Sus scrofa: one gene and its partner. The protein of the gene in region 2 interacts with the protein of the main gene of each other region in a biochemical or structural test. Links are inferred from orthologs where the notes say so. Each region holds a gene or a part of one and is shown on either strand. Other genes may lie near its edges. The genes, in order: UNC119 and ARL2.

What was found.
Region 1: the proteins of ARL2 (region 2) and UNC119 form a complex in vitro, tested with the Homo sapiens proteins (2 studies listed by BioGRID and IntAct, with this or other methods). The link is inferred for Sus scrofa from reciprocal best matches to the Homo sapiens genes ARL2 and UNC119.

What each region holds. Positions count from the first base shown.
Region 1 is NC_010454.4:44,800,892-44,811,031, forward strand, and holds UNC119 (protein unc-119 homolog A), read right to left. Parts: upstream 6,444-10,140; 5' UTR 6,351-6,443; coding exon 6,131-6,350; intron 2,382-6,130; coding exon 2,268-2,381; intron 1,785-2,267; coding exon 1,682-1,784; intron 1,515-1,681; coding exon 1,342-1,514; intron 1,094-1,341; coding exon 981-1,093; 3' UTR 374-980; downstream 1-373. Other genes in the region: PIGS (GPI transamidase component PIG-S), read right to left, coding at 8,246-8,521, 9,121-9,331. UniProt on the Homo sapiens protein: Involved in synaptic functions in photoreceptor cells, the signal transduction in immune cells as a Src family kinase activator, endosome recycling, the uptake of bacteria and endocytosis, protein trafficking in sensory neurons and as lipid-binding chaperone with specificity for a diverse subset of myristoylated proteins.
Region 2 is NC_010444.4:7,154,137-7,163,575, forward strand, and holds the end of ARL2 (ADP-ribosylation factor-like protein 2), read right to left. Parts: intron 9,254-9,439; coding exon 9,076-9,253; intron 8,988-9,075; coding exon 8,825-8,987; intron 6,287-8,824; coding exon 6,206-6,286; intron 5,099-6,205; exon of another isoform or gene 4,713-5,098; intron 4,289-4,712; coding exon 4,154-4,288; 3' UTR 3,827-4,153; downstream 1-3,826. Other genes in the region: SNX15 (sorting nexin-15), read right to left, coding at 834-932. UniProt on the Homo sapiens protein: Small GTP-binding protein which cycles between an inactive GDP-bound and an active GTP-bound form, and the rate of cycling is regulated by guanine nucleotide exchange factors (GEF) and GTPase-activating proteins (GAP).

The DNA of each region.
Region 1 (10,140 bases), on a different chromosome or scaffold from region 2:
AGGCAGCTGAGGGCAAGACGAGGCTCCAGGCCTCAGCCTCAGCCCTCTCTCATGAATGAGGGCTAAAAGGACAAATGAATGGTCCCACGGCCTCTCGGGATCAGGGAAGGTAGGATAGAGGGTCAGGCCCCCTCCCCAACACCTTCCCTCCTAGCTTGTCGCAGCCTGTTCTTCAGGGTTGGCCAGGACCTTGGGCCAAAGCCTTCCCTCTCGGGGCCTGAGTCTCCGTTTTATCAAAGGAAAAAGCCATTCCATCTACAATACAGCCTAAATGCTGACTCTAGAGGCTGAGCGTGGTGTCAGGGTGCAGAGGATCCGGAGACAGAACCACATTGTCCTCCCCGCCCCTCAAAACCACCACCACACACACACATGCTGGCCCACGACCAGAGAGCAGCAAAGGAGAAAGAGTTTATTGAAAACTATATACAGTTGGTCCAGTCCCTCCCACGGGCTGCCCTCTGGCGCATCCCTCCCACACCTCGGGCAGTGTCTCAGCCCCTGATGGTGGAGGCGGGGCTGGGGTCAAGGCCCCAACTCCCTTGGGAAGCTTGGCTGCCAGACCCCACATGGATCTTTGTCTGTGACCTTACAACTCTAAATGGCCTGTCGGTGGTGGGCAGGGGACAGGGCATGGGCTCCTGCCCGACCTAGTCAAAGCCTGGATAGGGGAACACTATTCTGAAACTTGGGCCCAAGAGGCCCAGCTAGGCTGACCGGAAGTCGTGGCTACTCCACTTCCCACGGGAGGCCTTGCTGGACACGGAGGCAAATAGCCCCCCTACACCCACCCCACGTGCCAGGCCCCCTGGGCTTCACGGACTTGAACTGGGGACATCAGGCACCCTCCCTCCCAACACTGACTCAGGGTCCAGGGCTCCTGAAACACTCCCCAGGCAGAAGACCTGGGGTGGAGAGGTGAGTATCGGGGTGGGCACAGCTGGGGCCCAGGACCCTCCTGGGGTAGGGGCGGTTTGGGGTCAGGGCGTCCCGCTGTAGGAATAGTCTGCTTTGTTGTGCATCACCAGCCGGTCATCCACGAAGTAGAAGCTGTCAGACTGTGTTTCATACGGGTGACGGATCATCTCGTTGACTGCAAGAGAGGCCCAGCCAGTTGGGGCAAAAATCAGCAGGGGCTTCAGGACTAGGGCACTAGGACAAGCTGAACAAAGAGTTCCCCCAGGCTCTGGGAGCCTCAGTTTCCCTCTAGGTGACATACGAATGGTGGCCAGACACAGGAGACCTCAGGTGGAAAGAAAGGGGCTCAGACCCCAGCGTGGTGTCTCTGAGCTTCCCGCCAGCCTTGCTCCCCCCCTACCCCCCAGGGCCCTGCACACGCACTCAGCTCCTCAGAGAGCGGGGGGAAGTCGTAGATGTGCTCGCAGGTGTTCTTGCTGCTGGGGATGCAGAAACCAAAGTGGAAGTCAAAGCTTTTGAGCAGCTGGTTGCGGAAGTAGTGCCTCTCAATCATGCGGAAGTTGTTGACAGGCTTGTCTCCCACTGTGAACTCCACCCTGAGTGACAGAGGGGGGCAGGGCTGAGCTGGGCCGCCCCAACAGCCAGCCTGGCTCGGGAGAGACCACCCCAAGAGAGGCTCGGTAAGAACTCAGGAAGGGCTCACTCCCGCCCTCACCCCCACCCTCACCCCGCCCCCACCCCTCACCCCAGCCCCGTGACTCACGTGGCTCCCACCTGCCTCAGACGGAGGAAGGCAGGCGTGAACTGGTAGCGGACAAAGCGCCCAGCATTGGGGTCCAGGTCCCGTGGGTTGATGGGCAACCTCTCTGTAATGTATCCCAGCTGGGGCTCAGTGGGCTTCAAGCTGGGGCCCCCATCTGTCTGAATTTATCTAAACTCCCCAGGAGATCCTAACGCACACTGAGGGTTCAGACCAGTGGCCGAATGCTTTCACCTAAGGGTTCTAGGTCAGCAGGTCACCAATTTCAACTGAGGTCCCCAGAGCCACAAGAAATAAAAAGACCTGGAACCTCTGGGACTGCAGTTCCCAGGGAGGCCTGCAGAGGGCAGGCTGGCAAAGACTGAAGAGGCAGGGCAGCCCTCCCAGGATGTCCAACCCCATCAACCCAAGAAAAGGAAAAGAAGAGGCCCAGCCTCAGGCAGAGCGCCCCCTGCCTGGTGACTCCTGAGAAGGCTGGGGCCCACGTCCCAGCTCTGCTCTGACTTGGTGGCCTGAGGAGTCCCTGGGCAAGCCCACTTCATGGCCCCTGTCCACCTCCCTCTGTTGATGGCCCAGCCAATCCACTCACCTGAGGCTGGGGGCTTCTTGATTTCAAAAAGGACAGTGCCTGAATCCATGTCCCGAATCTTGAACCTGACAAAGTCGATCTTGTAGATATTCTCCTCGGGGGAGCACAGGTAGTCTAGGGGAGATGGGCAACTGAGCAAGGAGAGGGCCTGCCCAGAAGCCCCTGCTGCCCGCTCAGTTTTCATAGGACCCTGAACTAGTCACCAATTTCTCTGATGCCTAAGGTCACTGTCTTCCAGAGAGAATTGAGCCCCTGCCCTGGGGGAGCCCAGTGTGGGGGAGTCATAGTTCTGCAATCAGGATCTAATGGGGACAAATGGTTCTATTTGAGTAGCCTCTGGGATCAGGGAGAAGCAGGGTGGAGGTCAAAGCCACCTCCCCCACACTTCCCCTCCCACCGGGGAGTTGAGAGCCCTTATTTCAGCCTCTGCTTTGCCAGCCCTGGCTTGATGACTTTCAGTCAAATGAGTCTCTAATCTGATGGGGCAACACCCCCCACCACCACCCAGCATGAGAGGGAAGATACAGCCCTGCTTTGGGGTACCTCACTCTAAGGCGGGAGACACAGCTCTACCCCAGGATAGGATACCGCCGTCCCCACCCCACAGCCGCCCCTGGCGCCACCTCTAAGTGTGTCAGGCAAGGACTTTCTCTGACCTGGGTAGTGCTAGGGCAGACGAACACCCCTTTCTCTGTTCCTCCTCATCCCCGGCCCCCCACGGGCCCCTCCTCTGCCCATAAGAGGCTTACACAAACCCAGCTCCCTTAAGCAGCTTAGCCAAAGCTCTGCTGACTCAAGCCCAGAGCCCGGACTACGGGGGGCGGGGGTGGGAATTGCTCCTATCCCCTGTTGATCTTCCAGCGGGAGGAGGTCTTAGAGAACACAGGGAGCCATGTTCTCTGTGTTCTGACTCGAGCCACCCCCACAAGGCCAGGAAGAGGGTGTGGCAGGTGCAGCAGGGTTGTGCACGGGGTAAGGGGAGTCCTCGGGCCCAGAAGAGGAAGCAGGAACAGTGGTGGGTCCACTTGAGGAAGCTCAGGAACAGCAGGGCCTGATCCAACCCTCACTGCTCTTGCAGCAACAACTGCAAGCACTCAGGGAGGTCCTGGAGCAAATAGGAAGGAGCAGAGAGGTGCAGCAGGGGCTCTGATGCTGTCACCCTGCCCAGCATCACATCCTCCCCATAGAGGCCCGGAAATCACCCTCTAGGCCCCTGGGCCACCTCCCATTCCTCTGGGGCAGGAAGAGGAAGTGAATGTAAAATTATTCTCTCTTCCCCAAGCCTGCGACAGCCCCCTCCAGGAAGCCCTCCAGGTAGCCACCTGGCACGATGGGGTCCAGCAAAGACTAGAAGGCTTATGGAGGGGCCTGAGCAACAGCTTGTCCACCACAGCCCATGGTGGGGAGAGGATAGGGGGCAGAATGGAAGTAGGCAGCTCCTACCTACCTCACCCTGTACACACTTTATTTTCACAGAAAGTAAGCATTAATCCAGAGCTGCAGAAGGAAGCTGTAGGGCATAGGAAGAGGATATGACAAAAGTGGGAACGGCATCCTAGTGGCCCAAGTCCCAGCTCCCCATGAAGCCCTCCTTCGTCCCCCGTTTTCTAACTTCTGGGACCTCTCCTCTCATTTGAGAACGCCTTGCAGTCTGGCCTCAGTCTCTCCTGCTGCAAACTCAACCTTTCAACCCCTCTGTCCTTAGAGGAAGTGAGAAACAAGGATGCCCATGGTTCAGGACACCACATCCACTCCCTCCCTCTACCAGAGAAGGATAAGGCCAGGGACCCGGGGTCAGCCCAGATAAGGGGCAGCGTAGCCAAGGGTTCAGAACACAACTGCTCCCTTCCTCTCGGCCACAAATAGCTTCCTAAGCTGGATTCAGCGCTGGGTAATCCGGGCAGAGCAAACCTCAGACCTGTGTGATTAGGGTCAGAAGAGGCCGTGGGGGGAGAGTCCTGGAGCCCTGTTCTCAACTTCTGCAAAGGAAAGGGCTCCTGTGAAACCCTCTCCTCTACTCATCCCCCACAGGTGTCACATCTCAAAGAGCTATGAATTTCTTCCCGATTCCGAGACAAATGTACATGGGCTGGAAGCCCCCATAGCTGCAAAATAACCTCTAAAGTTACCTAGGACCTGGACAAGTTAGACCCTCAGTAAAGAACTTCTGCCCCAGGAGTTCCCATTGTGGCATATTGGAGATGAATCTGACTAATATCCATGAGGATGCGGGCTCGATCCCTGGCCTCGCTCCGTGGGTTAAGGATCCAGCATGGCCATGAGCTGTGGTGCGTAGGTCGAAGACACGGCTCGGATCCTGCATTGCTGTGGCTCCAGCTCCGATTCGACCCCTAGCCTGGGAACTTCCATATGCTGTGGATGTGGCCATGAAAAGCAAAAAAAAAAAAAAAAAAAAAAAAAAGAAGTTCTGCCCCAGACTAACCTGAACCCTAAATGCTGCTGTTGCCAATGACAGTCCAACTGGCACCAACATCAGACTAGTCCAGGTACCTTCCCTCTACCAGCGCCGGCTCAGGCAAGGCAGCTCAGCGGCTCTGGGGGCCCAGCCAAGAATGGCTGCCTGGCTTAGCGAGGAGGAAGAGGCTGGTCCCCCAGGGACCCAGATGCACAAGCCTAGACCTGCTGTCAGGTCCCCTTCACAGCTCTGACTGGAAGCCCCGGGCTCTGCCGTTCCTGCAGCTCCAGAGCTAAGGTCCACTCCAGCATTTGCCCCCCACCCCCACCGAGAGGCCCCAAGAGCTACTGTCACAGAGGGAGCCAGGGTAGGGTTACTGATCAATGAGGTCGAGGTAGAAAGCCACTGCCTCTCCAAATGCTGTGTTCTTTGACGCTCAACCACTGCCTCTGCCATGAGACTTCCTGGTCCTTGTTGCCTGCCTCTGGTGACCCCCTCCCCTGCCCTGAATGCCCAGTTGTCTGCCTCTCAGCAGCAGCTATGAGCAGTCCTGTGGGGCCCTCAGTACTATTGATAAAAGAGCCCTATTTACAGGGCATGCACAACGCCAGGCACGGTGCAAAATCAGAGGATTTATTTTCACAATAGCTCTGTAAGGTAGGAGTTATTATCCCCATTTTACAGGTGAATATGTGCAGAGAGGTGAAGTTATGAGCCCAAGATCATACAGCCAATTACACGACAAAGCTGGAAGTTCAGCTTAGGCAGGTCGAGCTCAGAAACTCAGCCACAGTGGAGACTTGGCCTCCCAGAAGAGGTCAGGCCCTAGTCCAGGCTGCGTGGGGTGGCGCGGGGGGGGGGGGGGGCATTCATTAACCCACTCCCTTGAGAGAGCCCAGAGCCAACCCACTGAAGTTTCCTCTTCAGGTTCTTTCCGGGGTAGGAGGATGGCTTCAGACTTCCTGGGGTGTCCAGGGTGAGGGCATTAACGATCAGGGAGACAGGAGGGTTTTGATACCACCCAAGTAACTCTGCCTCCACCAAGCCTCCAGGGTGGAGACTGAGGACAGACTGCCCTTAGCCCCCCTCCTCGTTATTGCAGAGAAAATCTTCACAGGGTTCTGAGGACTGTGGGGAAGGGGTCACAGTAGCAGCTGCTGCCCACCTCCACCCTTGGAAAAGGGGGATAGACTCTTCAAAAAGGAAAGAGTCGGGTGGAAAGAAATCTCTACAGAAAGAAGGGGGCACAGAGAGATATCAAAGGAAGGAGGTACATGGAGATCTCAGGCCCAGAGGCAGAAGGATAGGGGACACCGGCCAGGGAGACCCGGGTGGGGGAGGGGAGGCAGGGGAGGGAGGGAAAGGGGGCGGGGGCCCGGGCTCCGCGCGCCTCGAGGGCCCTCTCTAGCTCCCGCCTGCCGGCGGCGTTCCCTCGCTTGGTGCTCACCGCCCGTGATCCGCTGCAGCCCCAGCACGTCCTCCGGCCCGATCGGCTGCTTCCTCTGCAGCGGCCCCGGCCTGGGCCCCGAGCCTGCCTCCGGCTCCGACTCGGACCCGGACCCGGATTCCGCCTGCGGCTCCAGCTTGGGCTCCACGCTTGGGCCCGAGGCCCCTGAAGCGGGCTCCGCCGCCGTCCCGGCCCCGCCGCCGCCCTTCTTCACCTTCATGGCCTCGCGGGGCCGCGGCTCGCCTGCTGCCGCCGCGGCTGCCTGCGCCGGCTGGAGCAAAGGGGGAGCGTCCGCAGCCCCGCCCCCGCCGGGGCCCCAGGTACCGCCCCGCCCCCGGGGTGGGCCCAGAACTGGCCCCGCCCACCGCCCGCCCACCTGAGCTACTCACGCGGGCAGGGTTGAGGCTCGCTCCCAGGTTCTCTCATTTTTGTTCCCACTTTTATCTGTAGGAATTTTAAGGCTACCTTCTCCTTACTCGCTGTACTCCAGCCGCTCCGCCCTTCTCTCCGCCCCTCAAAAGAGTTCCCGCCTCAGGGTCTTTGCCTGGGATGCTCTTCCCCCAGAAGGCCTCCTCTTGTCCTTCTAGTCTCAGCTCAAATACCTCTGCTCAGAGGCCCTCTCAGACTCACAATCTCAAGTACCAATACCAACCCCCAGTCACTATCTGATCAGCCTATTTTTTCTTTCTAAAGCATTATCTGAAATTAGTTTCGTTTGTTCACTCTTTCCCCCTTAAAGACCAATTACTTAAAAGCAGAGGTCCTATCCGTTCTCTAAAATACCACTCAGCACCTTGCATAATGCCCACTGCAGCCTGTGCTCAATACAGCTGGCCCTTGAACGACATGAGTTTGAAGTGTGTAGGGCCACTTATATGTGCACTTTTTTCCAATAAAAAATACTACACAATGGAAGGTTGGGTGAAACTGCAGATGCGAAACTGCTAATACCCAGGGCCAATGATAAATTATACTCTGATTCTGAATGCACCGGAAGGTGGGTGTCCCAACCCCTGCATTCTTAAAGGGTCAATTTTATTTTATTTTTGAATTTATGAATTAGTTAGTATCTGAGGGCTTACACCAGTAAAAGCTATTCTCTCCCAAACCCCCTGCTAGACAAGCCAGGACACACTGAGGGACAATAGCCTACAAGATTCTAGCCACCACAGGGCCCTCCAAGATAGGGAGGCAGGAAGGGCACATAGCCAGTAGAAGCAAAGTGGACCAGTGAGCCCAGGAGGACAGGCATCAGGAAATCATTACTTAAAACACAAATGAATGAAAGTTACACTCATACTTCATATAATTCCAATTCACATTCAACCAACGTTTATTGAGAGCCTAGAATATGCCAGACACTTTCACATGCTCATCCATTTAATACTCACAACCACCTTGTAAGGGAGGTATCAGTGCTATTTTTAAATGAAAAACTGAGGCTCAGGGAGGATTAAGTGGCCTACTCAAAGCTCCCCAGATGATAAGGGCAGAAGCAAGGGTTTGAATTCAGATGTGTTTGATCCCAAGTCCGGAATTTTCCCCACCGCACCATACTGCCTCTAGGTAAAGATAAAGGCAACCTCTGCCACACACAGCAATAGGCTGCACCCAACAGGTGTAGCCAGCCTGGAGCAAGGGGAGTAAGGGAGAAGGCCCCAGAGGTGACAGGAGCCCAGCCCTTTCCATGGGAGCAGTGCTAGGGCTCTCCCTGAGGGCCTGGAGGGCAGAGCCCTAGAATCCAACCCAGGGCTTTCCCCCAGTGCTCCCTCTCAGTGCAAGAGGACTGTGGGGAACAGGGCAGAGGCACAAGCTGCCCCTGCCCAGAGGGAGAGAGAAAAGGGCCCTCAAGTTCAAGACCGGTAAGGAGACACCAATGATGTGTCTTTTGAGGAGGGGGTTGGAGGGCTTGAAGAGTGGGAGAGCCCTGAGCCAGATGAATGGGAGGGAAAGGAGAGATGAAACCCTCTTGGAGTGTTAGACTTCAACCGTTGCAGGGGCGACAGAGCAGGCTGGAGACAAGTCATTCGTGGCAGGCCCCACTTATCTGCCTCTCAGCCTAACAGCTCCCATGCTGGCCAAAAAGGAAGGCTTCCTACTGAGATGCTGCCCTGCTCAGTCTATCTTCTCAGGCTTCTTCCAGGACTTGCGAGTCTCCAGGAAGATCTTGAACAGGGACAAAAGGATGGGCACAGCCATAGGCAGGAAGAGCGGGATGTAGATGGCAAACTTCTGGTCATCAGGGAAATAGAGGAGGTGGAGCAGCGAGGGATCAAAAAAGGCACGCTCTGAGGACGTCACAGCCTCCTGGCTGGCAGCAAAGGCAGAGGCCAGGTGTCCAGAGGCCAACTCCTCCGCTGCCTTCTGGACTGCAGCCACGGCCCTGTACACCTAGGAAGGGAGTAGGGGGTTACCAAAAAGTCCTAGGCAGCAGTTGGTGGGGAGGGCAGGGGAGGGCCTCACTGGGTCTTCCGTCTGCCTAGAGTTTGCCCAGGATATGCAGAGGCCAGTATAAAAAGGGTAAGGTGCGAGTTCCCGTCGCGGATCATCAGAAACAATCTGACTCGCATCCATGAGGATGCCAGTTCGATCCCTGGCCCTGCTCAGTGGGTTAAGGATCCGGCACTGCCGTGAGCTATGGTGCAGGTCACGGACACGGCTCGGATATGATGTTGCTGTGGCTGTGGCATAGGCCGGCAGTTACAGCTGATTCCGCCCCTGGCCTGGGAACTTCCACATGCCGTGGGTGTGGCCCTAAAATTAAAAAAAAAAAAAAGGGCAGGGTGTATTTTCTTACAGCCTGTTTAACTCCTTACACCCCATCTGGATTCCTACCAGGGAGTTGGCACTGCCCTCTAGAGGAAACCCCGGGCACTCAAGGATGGCATGCCCATACACTTCCTGAACCTCGATGGCTCTCTGGTTTCACCACACCCTGGTCCTGGTGGCTACTCGTCCTAGGTCACAGAATCCATCCCCTGCCTGCTTACCTCAGATGCCACATCGTCCTTGATGACAATATTGCTGATCTTGCCTAGAAGCTGGGCCAGAGAAGTCAGAGTGGTGGTGGCTGTGGCCAGGTTCTCCACGGACCGAGCCCAGAGCAGCCGGTCTAGCTCCCAGGTCATTATCCCTTCACTCTTAGGCCCTGAAAACAGGCATTTTGGAGGCACCTGGGGCTGAGCAATCCCAAAGAGCAACCTGTAGGAACAGCGAGCAAAGAAGGTCAAAGGGTCTGAGACTAGAAGGTGGAAAAAGACGGTTAAGATTCTGAGGATAGGAGTTCCCTCTGTGGCCCGTCTAGTGTCCATGAGGATGTGCGTTCAATCCCTGGTCCTGCTCAGTGGGTTAAGGATCCGGCACTGTCATGAGATGTGATGTAGGTTGCAGATGCAGCTGAAATCCTACATTGCTGTGGCTGTGGGTATAGGCTGGCAGCTGCAGCACTGATTCAACCCCTGGGAACTTCCATATGTTCTGGGTGCAGCCCTAAAAAAAAGACACACACAAAAAAAGGTACTAAGAATTTCAGTCTTACCCAGAGCCACAGGACAGGGGTTGCAGCACTGCCTTGGGGTCTTAGGGTCCATGGCTAAAATATTTAATTTCACCCCCTCCCGTCTATCTCTCTTTGGACAAATGAGGCCCCTGCACCTTAGTTAAGGGATGATCCAGGACCACCTGACAAGGCATACGTGCCACGCCTCTCTATTCCTACACCCATGGCAGACATTGCTAATCAATCAGAATCCTCTTTCCTGATGAGCCCAGGCACAGCCTTAGAATCCTCAATGTAGGGTGTCAGGAAACCACTATTAATGATCTGTTAGCCCAAGAATTAACAGCTATTTTTCTTTTCTTTTTTTTTGTTTCTTTTTTTTAGGGCTGCACCTGTAGCATATGGAAGTTCCTGGGCTAGGAGTCCAATCGGGAGCTACAGCTGCCCACCTACATCATAGCCACAGCAACAGAAACACTGGATTCAAGCTGCACCTGTGACCTACACTGCA
Region 2 (9,439 bases):
CTGGGAACCTCCATATGCCTCAGGAGCGGCCCTAGAAAAGGCAAAAAGACAAAACAACAACAAAAAACCCACTTTGAAAGTCTTTACGTTTTTGCTTCACTTTAATAGTTACTAATGCATCAGTTTAACCAGCCTACTGCAAAATTGTGAAAGTATATTAAAAAAATTTACAGTGAAAAATCTTTCCCAATTAGGTTTTGTATATGGCTCTACAGATATCGTTATATTGTTGCTATTTTAAATTTTCATGATTTCTTCCATGTCTCTCTATAATATATTTATAACGTTGGCACTGCTTCGTATGTCAACTTTAGTCTGTATATACTGACTTCTCGTTATGACTGTGAAGAGGAGACTTACTCCTTAATTTCTTTTGAACTGTATGAGCTTTTAGTCCTACACAAGCATTATTTTTTGAAAAATTAAAAGTAATTCAACTCCTTAGAGGGCTTTTATGTAAATATCAAACAAACCAATAGACAGAACTTACTCCAAGAGATTGGAGAACTAACCAATATTTGGGTTGAGCCAGAGTTTTCATATTAACTTAAAGAAATTAAGTTTGATTGCCAGACGCCGAGCGTAGGGAGTGGGCACCCACACCTCACCGGCTGGGTACTGCTGTCACGCCCTTTTAAGAGGGCAGCGCCCTTCTATGGCCCCACTCCTAGACGGCTAAAGAAGTAAACGAAGGCTCTTACCGCCACCGTCTCTTAAAGGGGAAATTCATTTCCAGCGTCTAAAATGGGAGCTTGCAGCAGCGTCTCGCCTTAAGGTAAAACACGGCCCCCTCTTGTTAAAAGGGTAAAAGTCCCCGCTGGGCCCCATCTCACCTGCGCGGTGACTTTGTACTCGGTGTAGCCCTTGGGGTGGGTCCGGGGGTCGGAGACTGTGTAGTGCCGCAGGAAGTCGTCCTTCGCCTGGCGGGACATGGCAAACGAGCTGGAGCGGAGCTGCCCGCCGCCCTCCGCCTCCTCCGCGCCGCCCCCGCCCCTCCAGGTCAGTCTCCACGAGCCAACGCCTCTCCTGGGCTTGCGCCCTTCATCCTTTTGCCCAGGGACCTGGTCGCAAGTGACAGTGCAGTTCTCGGCCGGGGCGCTCGGCCAAGGGAGCGTCTAAAAAGTTCTCGGTTGTTGGTGAAGCATGAACGAGACAATTTGAGAGTAAGCATTAGGATGGGTGGATAACTAGGTTTTGCCTAGACATGAGCCTACCCCATGTGAGCTGTAAACCCTCATCGCAGTCTCTCTAAATGACTTATTTCATCCATCCACCTGACTTTTACTGTATTCAATATATGCCAGACAGTGTCAAATTATTTCTCCCTCCCTAGGATTCACGAAATTCATGTTTTCTGGAAGGAGGGGGGGGGTGTTGAAACGATGGTGTCATGGGCTCTTACTGTCTGCATGAGTTTCCCTTAGCCCATGAGTTTCCCTTAGCCCATGAGTTTCCCTTGAGCCTCAGTTTCTCATCTCTAGAATGGGGAGGTTTATAATAGAATCTACTGCAGCAGATGTTTCTTTATCCTTTGGTGGCCTGTCCGGCATTCACCGCTGCCTCCTGCTGTTAGCATCTTAGCACCAGATCTTTGTTTGGAGGTGGTTCACTGGTGTGTGCAGCCCGTGGGCCTGGTAGCCCAGAATCCAAAGGTGGAGGCTGCTTTCCTTATCCCAGGTCCCAGGGCAGGGTGGTGGGCTCTCTCCTGAAGCCTTAAATCTTGAGTGAGGGACAGAATGCATGGCAAGGGGATTGAATTGTTCCCTGAGTACAGTGTTGGCTGTAGGTTTGGCTGTCCAGCCTTTTGGAGCACTCTGTTTTACAAGCCTAGATATCTGACTTCCATCAAGATGCTATGAGTTCCCAGTGTCCTTCCTCGAAAGGTTCTTTCTTTCTTCTTTTCTTTTTTTTTTTGCTTTTTTTTTTTTTTTTTGCTTTTTAGGGCCACACCCACAACATATGGAGGTTCCCAGGCTAGGGGTTGAATTGGAGCTATAGCTGCAGGCCTACATCACAGCCACAGCCACAGCAATGCCAGATGTGAGCTGTGTCTGCAACCTACACCACAGCTCACGGCAACGCTGGATCCTTAACCCACTGAGCGAGGCCAGGGATTGAACCCACAACCTCATGGCTCCTAGTCAGATTTGTTTCCGCCGCACCATGACGGGAACTCCCGGAGAAAATTTCTTTCTGTGGAAAGCAGTCGTAATTTGTATCTGGCAAACCATGCAAGACCCTGCCTGATGCTACCACCCCCAGGCTGTGAAGCTTAAATGAGGGAGCATGGGTACAGCGCTCATGGCCACTCTCTTTACTGGAACTCAGATGAGTGGGTGCTGTAACTCCAGAAAGAAACACAATGCAAACTCCCAAGTCAGACTCTTAAGATCATGGAAACAAGTTAGTTCTTTCTTTCTTCTTTTCTTTTTTTCCTTTTTTTTTTTTTTTTTTTTGCTTTTTAGGGCCACACCCACAACATATGGAGGTTCCCAGGCTAGGGGTCCAATCAGAGCTACATCTGCCTGCCTACGCCACAGCCACAGCAACACTGCATCCAAGCCGCCTCTGCGACCTACACCACTGCTCACAGCAACGCCAGATCCTTAACCCACTGAGCGAGACCAGGGATCAAACCTGCATCCTCATGGATGCTAGTCAGGTTCATTAAGCACTGAGCCACGACAGGGACTCCAGGGCAGGTGGTTCTATAGTTCCGCACTGGAAAGCTTATGTTCTAAGTTTGTCCGCTCAACACCTCCCTTCTTCCACCCTAACAGAGCCCAAATTTTGCATAGGCCCCTCCCCTTCAGGAAAGGGTCCTGGTTTAAGAGTAAATTGGTCATTCTTCCTCTTTTCCCTTGAGAAAACTGCCCTTCCCTCATAGACACATTAGGCTCCTTGCACCTGGCATTGAGTTTCGAGAAAAGAAACAAAAACTAAAACCAGCAGGGTTTAGTGGCTAAGCGTGCTGGGTCCAAATCCTGGGCCCTTGCTTCCTAGCTGAATAGGGTTTTTTTGTTTTTGTCTTTTTAGGGCCTACCTGTGGCATACAGAAGTTCCCAGGCTAGGGGTCCGATCAGAGCTGTAGCCCCTGGCCTACACCACAGCCACAGCCACGGCAGATCTGAGTTGCGTCTGTGACCTACATACACCACAGTTCACGGCAATGCATGGATCCTTAACCCAGTGAGGCCAGGGATGGAACCTGTGTCTCGTGGATGCTTGTCGGGTTCATTACCATTGAGCCACAGTGGGAACGCCCTAGGTGGATAGTTTTGGGTAAGTCACGTCTCCTCCCGGAGGCTCAGTTGCTTTATGAATGGGGACACTGAGAATCTGTCCTGTTTGGGGCTGTTCTTCAGTGTGATGGCAAGTGACAAATCTTCAGAGGGAACCCTGCAGAGAAAGCACCACTGGCAGGACCACAGCAGGGGGCCCTGTGAAAACTTCCATCTGCTCTGCCACCTGGATGGGGGTCCTGGGGTCCCCCTGGTTCCCATGCTCTCCCAGTCTGGTTCCTGCTTCAGAAATGCCCTTGAGCCTTGAGGGAAGGCCCCTTCGCAGCTCTGCTCTTCGTTAGCTTGCTCTACTTGATGCCTGCTCCTCCTTCCTGCATCGGAGTCCGTCCCCCCCGCTCCCCGCCTCCCTGCTCCCCCCTCACCCCGTCTCCCAGCAGCCCTGTCCTGCACTTTTCTAACTCTCTGCAGTCCCTTTCATACAGCGAGTTCACCTCGGACTGCAATTACCTTTTCTGTCCTCTGCTGGCCAATGAACTCCAGGCGGTCTCTAGGGTTGTTGAATCAACAAATGACTCAGCCAGGAATGGGGGCGAGGAACACTTTATTCTCACAGCTGAGCAAAAGACGAGGCCCACAGCCTTGACAGCAGCAGACGCAGCCCCCTCCCAGCCCCAGCCCTCTCTTCTTGGTATAGTTGCTGCTGCCGCAGGCCAAGTTAGGAGCCAGGGTGACAGCCAGGGCGGGAGCCGGCTGGCCCCGGAGCAGCAGTGGGCAGCAGTAGCAGCAGCAGGTTATGGAGTGGGGCAGGGGTGTTAGTGGGGCTGGCTGACTCCCATGCCCGCGTGGATGGTGCCTGGCGAGGGCCTGGTGGGGGCGCCTGGACCGTGAGGTGAGGGGGCATCTGGAGTGGCTCAGTCGGCCATGAAGATGCGGCTGGAGATGTCATCCAGGAGCCAGTCGATGCCAGGCAACAGGTTCTCCCCGGTGACGGCACTGCAGCCCTGGATGCACCAGTGGTGGCTGCGGATGGAGTCCAGCTCCAGGGCCTAGAAGGGAGGAAGGTGACAGAGGGCCCCGGTGTCCACAGGGCCCGACCCCCCTCAGCCCCTTTCCCCTCCTGGCCCAGGGGAAATCCACACCTCCCTCCAGGGCCTGCTGTGGGAGGCTTCCCCTGGCCCCTGGTGAAGATGTGTCACACACACCCCCGCACCCCGCTTCCGCTCCACCGTCCAGAGCACCTGAGCTCTCTGTACACGACAGCCAGACCAGCACGGCAACAAGGGCTCCCGATGTGGTGCTCTGGGCCCTACAGTATCCTCTCACCCATTCCCCCCCAAGGCCCCATGAGCCAGGGATTGTACTGGCCATTTTACTGAGGAGGAAACTTCAGAGAGGTTAAGCAACCTCCTAAAGTCACACAGCTAGTAAGTGGCAGAACCCAGTTTCTAACCCCACTCTTTCTCGTTCTAGCCTTCCAGTCTACAATCAGACTTAAGATGCACTCTGACAATGGGAGGTCCCAAGAAGGAACACGTGCTGCCAAATACTAACCAGGAGAATTTGGGAGGGGCCGAGAGAAGGAAGGAGGTGACCAACCTCCCAGGATCCTTGGCGCTGGAATCCATCTTGGCTGAGGGATGCATGTGCCACCAGAAAAGGACCCCAGCTCAGACCAAATTATGGGCCAAACAAGATGACTGGCCAGAGACAACCCAGACACTAACCTCATTACCATAAAACCTGAGGCTTTGAGCCACATGGCAGCAAATCCGATTCCCTTACCCTACTGTTCTCTGCCCAGGGAGCCTCTTCCCAATAAAGCTTTTTGCTTTGTCAAAAAAAAAAAAAAAAAAAAAGAGTTCCCATCCTGGTTCAGTGGCAACGAATCTGACTAGCATCCATGAGGATGCAGGTTCAATCTCTGGCCTCGCTCAGTGGGTTAAGGATCTGGTGTCACTATGAGCTGTGGTGTAGGTCGAAGGCTCGGCTCAGATCCTGAGTAGCTGTGGCTGTGGTGTAGACCAGCGGCTACAGCTCTGATTCGACCCCTAGCCTGGGAAAACTCCATATGCCACGGGTGCGGCCCTAAAAAGACAAAATATAAAAATAAAAAACAAATAGGAGTTCCCGTTGTGGCTCAGTGGTTAACAAATCTGACTAGGAGCCATGAGGTTGCGGGTTCGATCCCTGCCCTTGCTCAGTGGGTTAAGGATCTGGCGTTGCCGTGAGCTGTGGTGTAGGTTGCAGAGGTGGCTTGGATCGTGCGTTGCTGTGGTTGTGGCATAGGCCGGCGGCTACAGCTCCGATTAGACCCCTAGCCTGGGAACCTCCATATGCCGCAGAAGCAAAAAAAAAAAAAAAAGACAAAAATAAAAAACAAATAAAAGTGACTCAAAGACATTTAAAAAAAGTAAAGAGAGAGAGTTAAGATACAATCTGGAGTCACACCGGCCTGTGTTTAAATCCTGGCTTGTCTGCTTACCCTGTGACCCTGGGCCAGTTACCTTTCTAAGCCTGCCTCACTGTGTGTAGAATGATGTAATAGTTCCTACCTTGTGAGGTTGCTGTGCGAACTAAATGAGTTAATCCGTGCACAGCCTAGCACGTGGAAGCTACTGTTCCCTTGTGGAATAATCTATTTTCAGGTCTGCCTGCCCCTGGGCTGTGGGCTCAACTCTCTTACTAATCACTGACTCCCCAATACCCTGAGTAGGTCCTGCCACACGGCACGGCTAATACATGCTTATTCATTTATTTACTTATTTACTTATTGGCTGCACCTGTGGCATGTGGAAGTTCTCAGGACAGGGATCGAACCCACCCTCGCCATACCCATAACCAGAGTCACATCAGTGACAACGCTTGATCCTCAACCTGCTGAGCTGCCGGGGAACTCCCAACAAATGCTTCTTAAATTAACAAGGAAATGCATGCCCCTTCCTTCCTCCAAGGCCTGCACTCACCTCGCGAATCGCCTTAGAGGACAGTGCTCCGGGCAGGTCCTGCTTGTTGGCAAAGATGAGGAGGGTGGCACCAGCCAGGCGCTGGGGAAAGAGAAATAGAGGGGTGTGTGTGTGGGGGGGCTTCAGAGGGCAGCCTGGCCCCTCCACTGTTCACCCAGGGCAAGGTCCCATAGCAGTGGGAAAGACACAGGCGGGGTGGGGGTGGGGGAGATGGCCTTTGTGTCCAGCCATTTACGGGGTGGAGGGAGCCCCAGGCTGGGCTAGGCCCTTGGTTCCAGCCCAGTCACCACCCAGTGGGCACTGCTCTCCTCCGAGCCTCAGACCCTCTTCTGTAAACAGGGAGGGGGTGACGGACAGACGCTCCAGAGCCCTCCAGGTCTAGCCTGCTCCGCTCTGATGACCTGAGGTGCATGAAGAATGCGACTGTCCCAGGGGCTCTGGGGTCTGTTGGAAATGACCTTCCCTCTTCCAAGTTCACACAGCTCTCCAAACGGTCCCATTACCCTGACAAGCCTCACTCTCTGCCTGTGATTCCAGTTATTTCCATATGTGTTTGGACTGGGAGTCCCTCCACATGGGTGGTGGATACAGCCTTAAAAAGAGCCTCGAGGAGTTGCCATTGTGGCTCAGTGGGTTAAGAACCCGACTAGGATCCATGAGGATGCGCGTTAGATCCCTGGCCTCCCGCAGTGGGTGAAGGATCCGGGGTTGCTGCAAGCTGTGGCATCAGTCGAGAAGGCGCCTCGGATCCTGCGTGGCGTAGGCTGGCAACTGCAACGCTGATTCGACCCCTAGCCTGGGAACTTCCATATGCTGCAGGTGTAGCCAGAAGAAAAAAAAAAAAAAAAGAAAAGAAAAGAAAAAGGGCCTCGGGGTCCCTGAGCATTGGACAGCCAGGATCTCACTGGACCTGCTCAACACCCGTTTAGGCCTGGGGTCCCTGCATGACTACAGACAGCTCTCTCATGTACTCTTAAAAGTGTCCTGGTTTTTAACTAAATGCAGTGTAGGAAACTGGATCAAACCTGAAACAGAGAAAGGACATTAGTGGGAAAACTGGTGAAATCCTAATAAAACCTAGAATTCAGTTAGTAGTAACTTACCAATGTTAATTTCTTAGATTTTGTTTGTTGTTGCTTTTTTTTTTTTTTTTTGTCTTTTTAGGGCCGCACCCGTGGCATACGGAGGTTCCCAGGCTAGGGGATCTAATTGGACCTGTAGCCGCCTGCTTACACCACAGCCACAGCAGTGCCAGATCCAAGCTGCGTCTGTGACCTGCACCACAACTCACGGCAACGCCAGAGCCTTAACCCACTGAGTGGGGCCAGGGATCAAACCTGCAACCTCATGGTTCCTAGTCAGATTTTCGTTTCCGCTGCACCACGACAGGAACACCTAATTTCTTAGTTTTGACAAAGGCATGGTGGTCCCGGAAGATGTTAAATTCCATGGTAAATGAAGGGGAGCTGGCTGAAGGATATATGGGGTGTCTCTTCACTATCTTTACAACTTTTCTGTACATCTAAAATCTTATTTAAAGAAGAGCATTTTGGGGAGTTCCAATTGTGGCTCAGTGGTTAACGAACCCAACTTGTATCCATGAGGATATGGGTTTGATCCCTGGCCTTGTTCAGTGGATTAAGGATCCAGCGTTGCCACAAGCTGTGGTGTAGGTTGAAGACTCAGCTCAGATCTGGCGTGGCTGTGGCTGTGGTGTAGGCCAGCAGCTGCCGCTCTGATGCAACCCCTAGCAGAACTTCCATATGCCTCAGGTGCAGCCCTAAAAAGAAAAAGAAAAAGAAAGAAAGAAAGCCCCTAAATTATTGTCTTTTTTTTTTTTTTTTTTTGGTCTTTTTGCCATTTCTTGGGCCACTCCCGCGGCATATGGAGGTTCCCAGGCTAGGGGTCGAATCGGAGCTATAGCCGCCAGCCTACGCCAGAGCCACAGCAACGCAAGATCTGAGCCTCGTCTGTGACCTACACCACAGCTCATGGCAACGCCGAATCCTTAACCCACTGAGCGAGGCCAGGGATCGAACCGGCAACCTCATGGTTCCTAGTCAGATTCGTTAACCACTGCGCTACAATAGGAACTCCGAAAGCCCCTAAATTATTAAAAAAAAAAAAATAAAGAACATGTGGCCCAGTCAATAGATTTTAAGATCACCATCATTATAATGCCCATCTTAGACAGGAGGCAGTGGAGGTTCAGAGACGTGCCCACCTCGAGGTCACACAGCAGAGTCCGACTCCTGAGCCAGGCTCCACTGCCTCCCCAAGCTTGACACACTGGCCTCAAGTCATCCTCCCTAAAGCCCAATTCAAGGCATAGAAACTGCAGCTCAGGGTGTTGAAGCAGTGACACTGCAGGATGTGAACCTGTGTCTCAGTCCCCAGCGTGTCCCGCCCATGCCCAGTGGGCCTCCGTGGACCACGTGTACAGCTTGTCTCTGCCTCCCCAAGGGTGCTGGACACATGGTGAGGCCTCAGAGAAGGAATAGATCCCACCCTGGGTGTCCCTCTGGGTCTACGGACCCCACAAGGAATCTGCCCAAAGTACTGGGCCCCAGTCACTGGGGGAAGCCCGGCTCCCCGGGCTCGGCCAGGCGTCCTGCCCACCTCCTCCACCAGCAGGCTCTGGAGCTCCCGCTGACAGTCCTGCATGCGCTGGCGGTCGGCGCTGTCCACCACCCAGATGAGGCCGTCGGTGCTCTCGAAGTAGTTCCGCCAGTAGGACCGCAGGGACTTCTGGCCGCCCACATCCCAGATGTTCAGCTTGAATCTGGACAGGGAGCGGGTGGCTGGAGGGTCAGCCTGGCCCCTCGCCTGCCCGCCCGCCCGCCCTGCCCGCCTGCAGGGGCCCCGCTCACCCTCGGTGCTCCAGGGTCTTGATGTTAAAGCCCAGCGTCGGGGAGATGGTGTCAATGTCTTCCCCGTTGAACTTCTTGAGGATGGTTGTTTTGCCAGCATTGTCCAGGCCGCTGGGGCGCAGCAGGTTAAGGAGAAGTCCCCGGGCTCTGCAGGGTGGTGACATCATCGCAGTGCCCTCTTGGGGGACAAATCATTTCCCACCACATGTCAAAATCAGCGGAGGACCTGCCAGCGCCGCATGATACACGTGAAAAGTATCAAGAAATATGTTCTCATCATCTCCTGACCAGAGGCTCCTGAACTCATCCCACGATGCTTGCTGCAAACCTACTCGGTGCCAGAACACCCCTGGTGCTGGCGCGG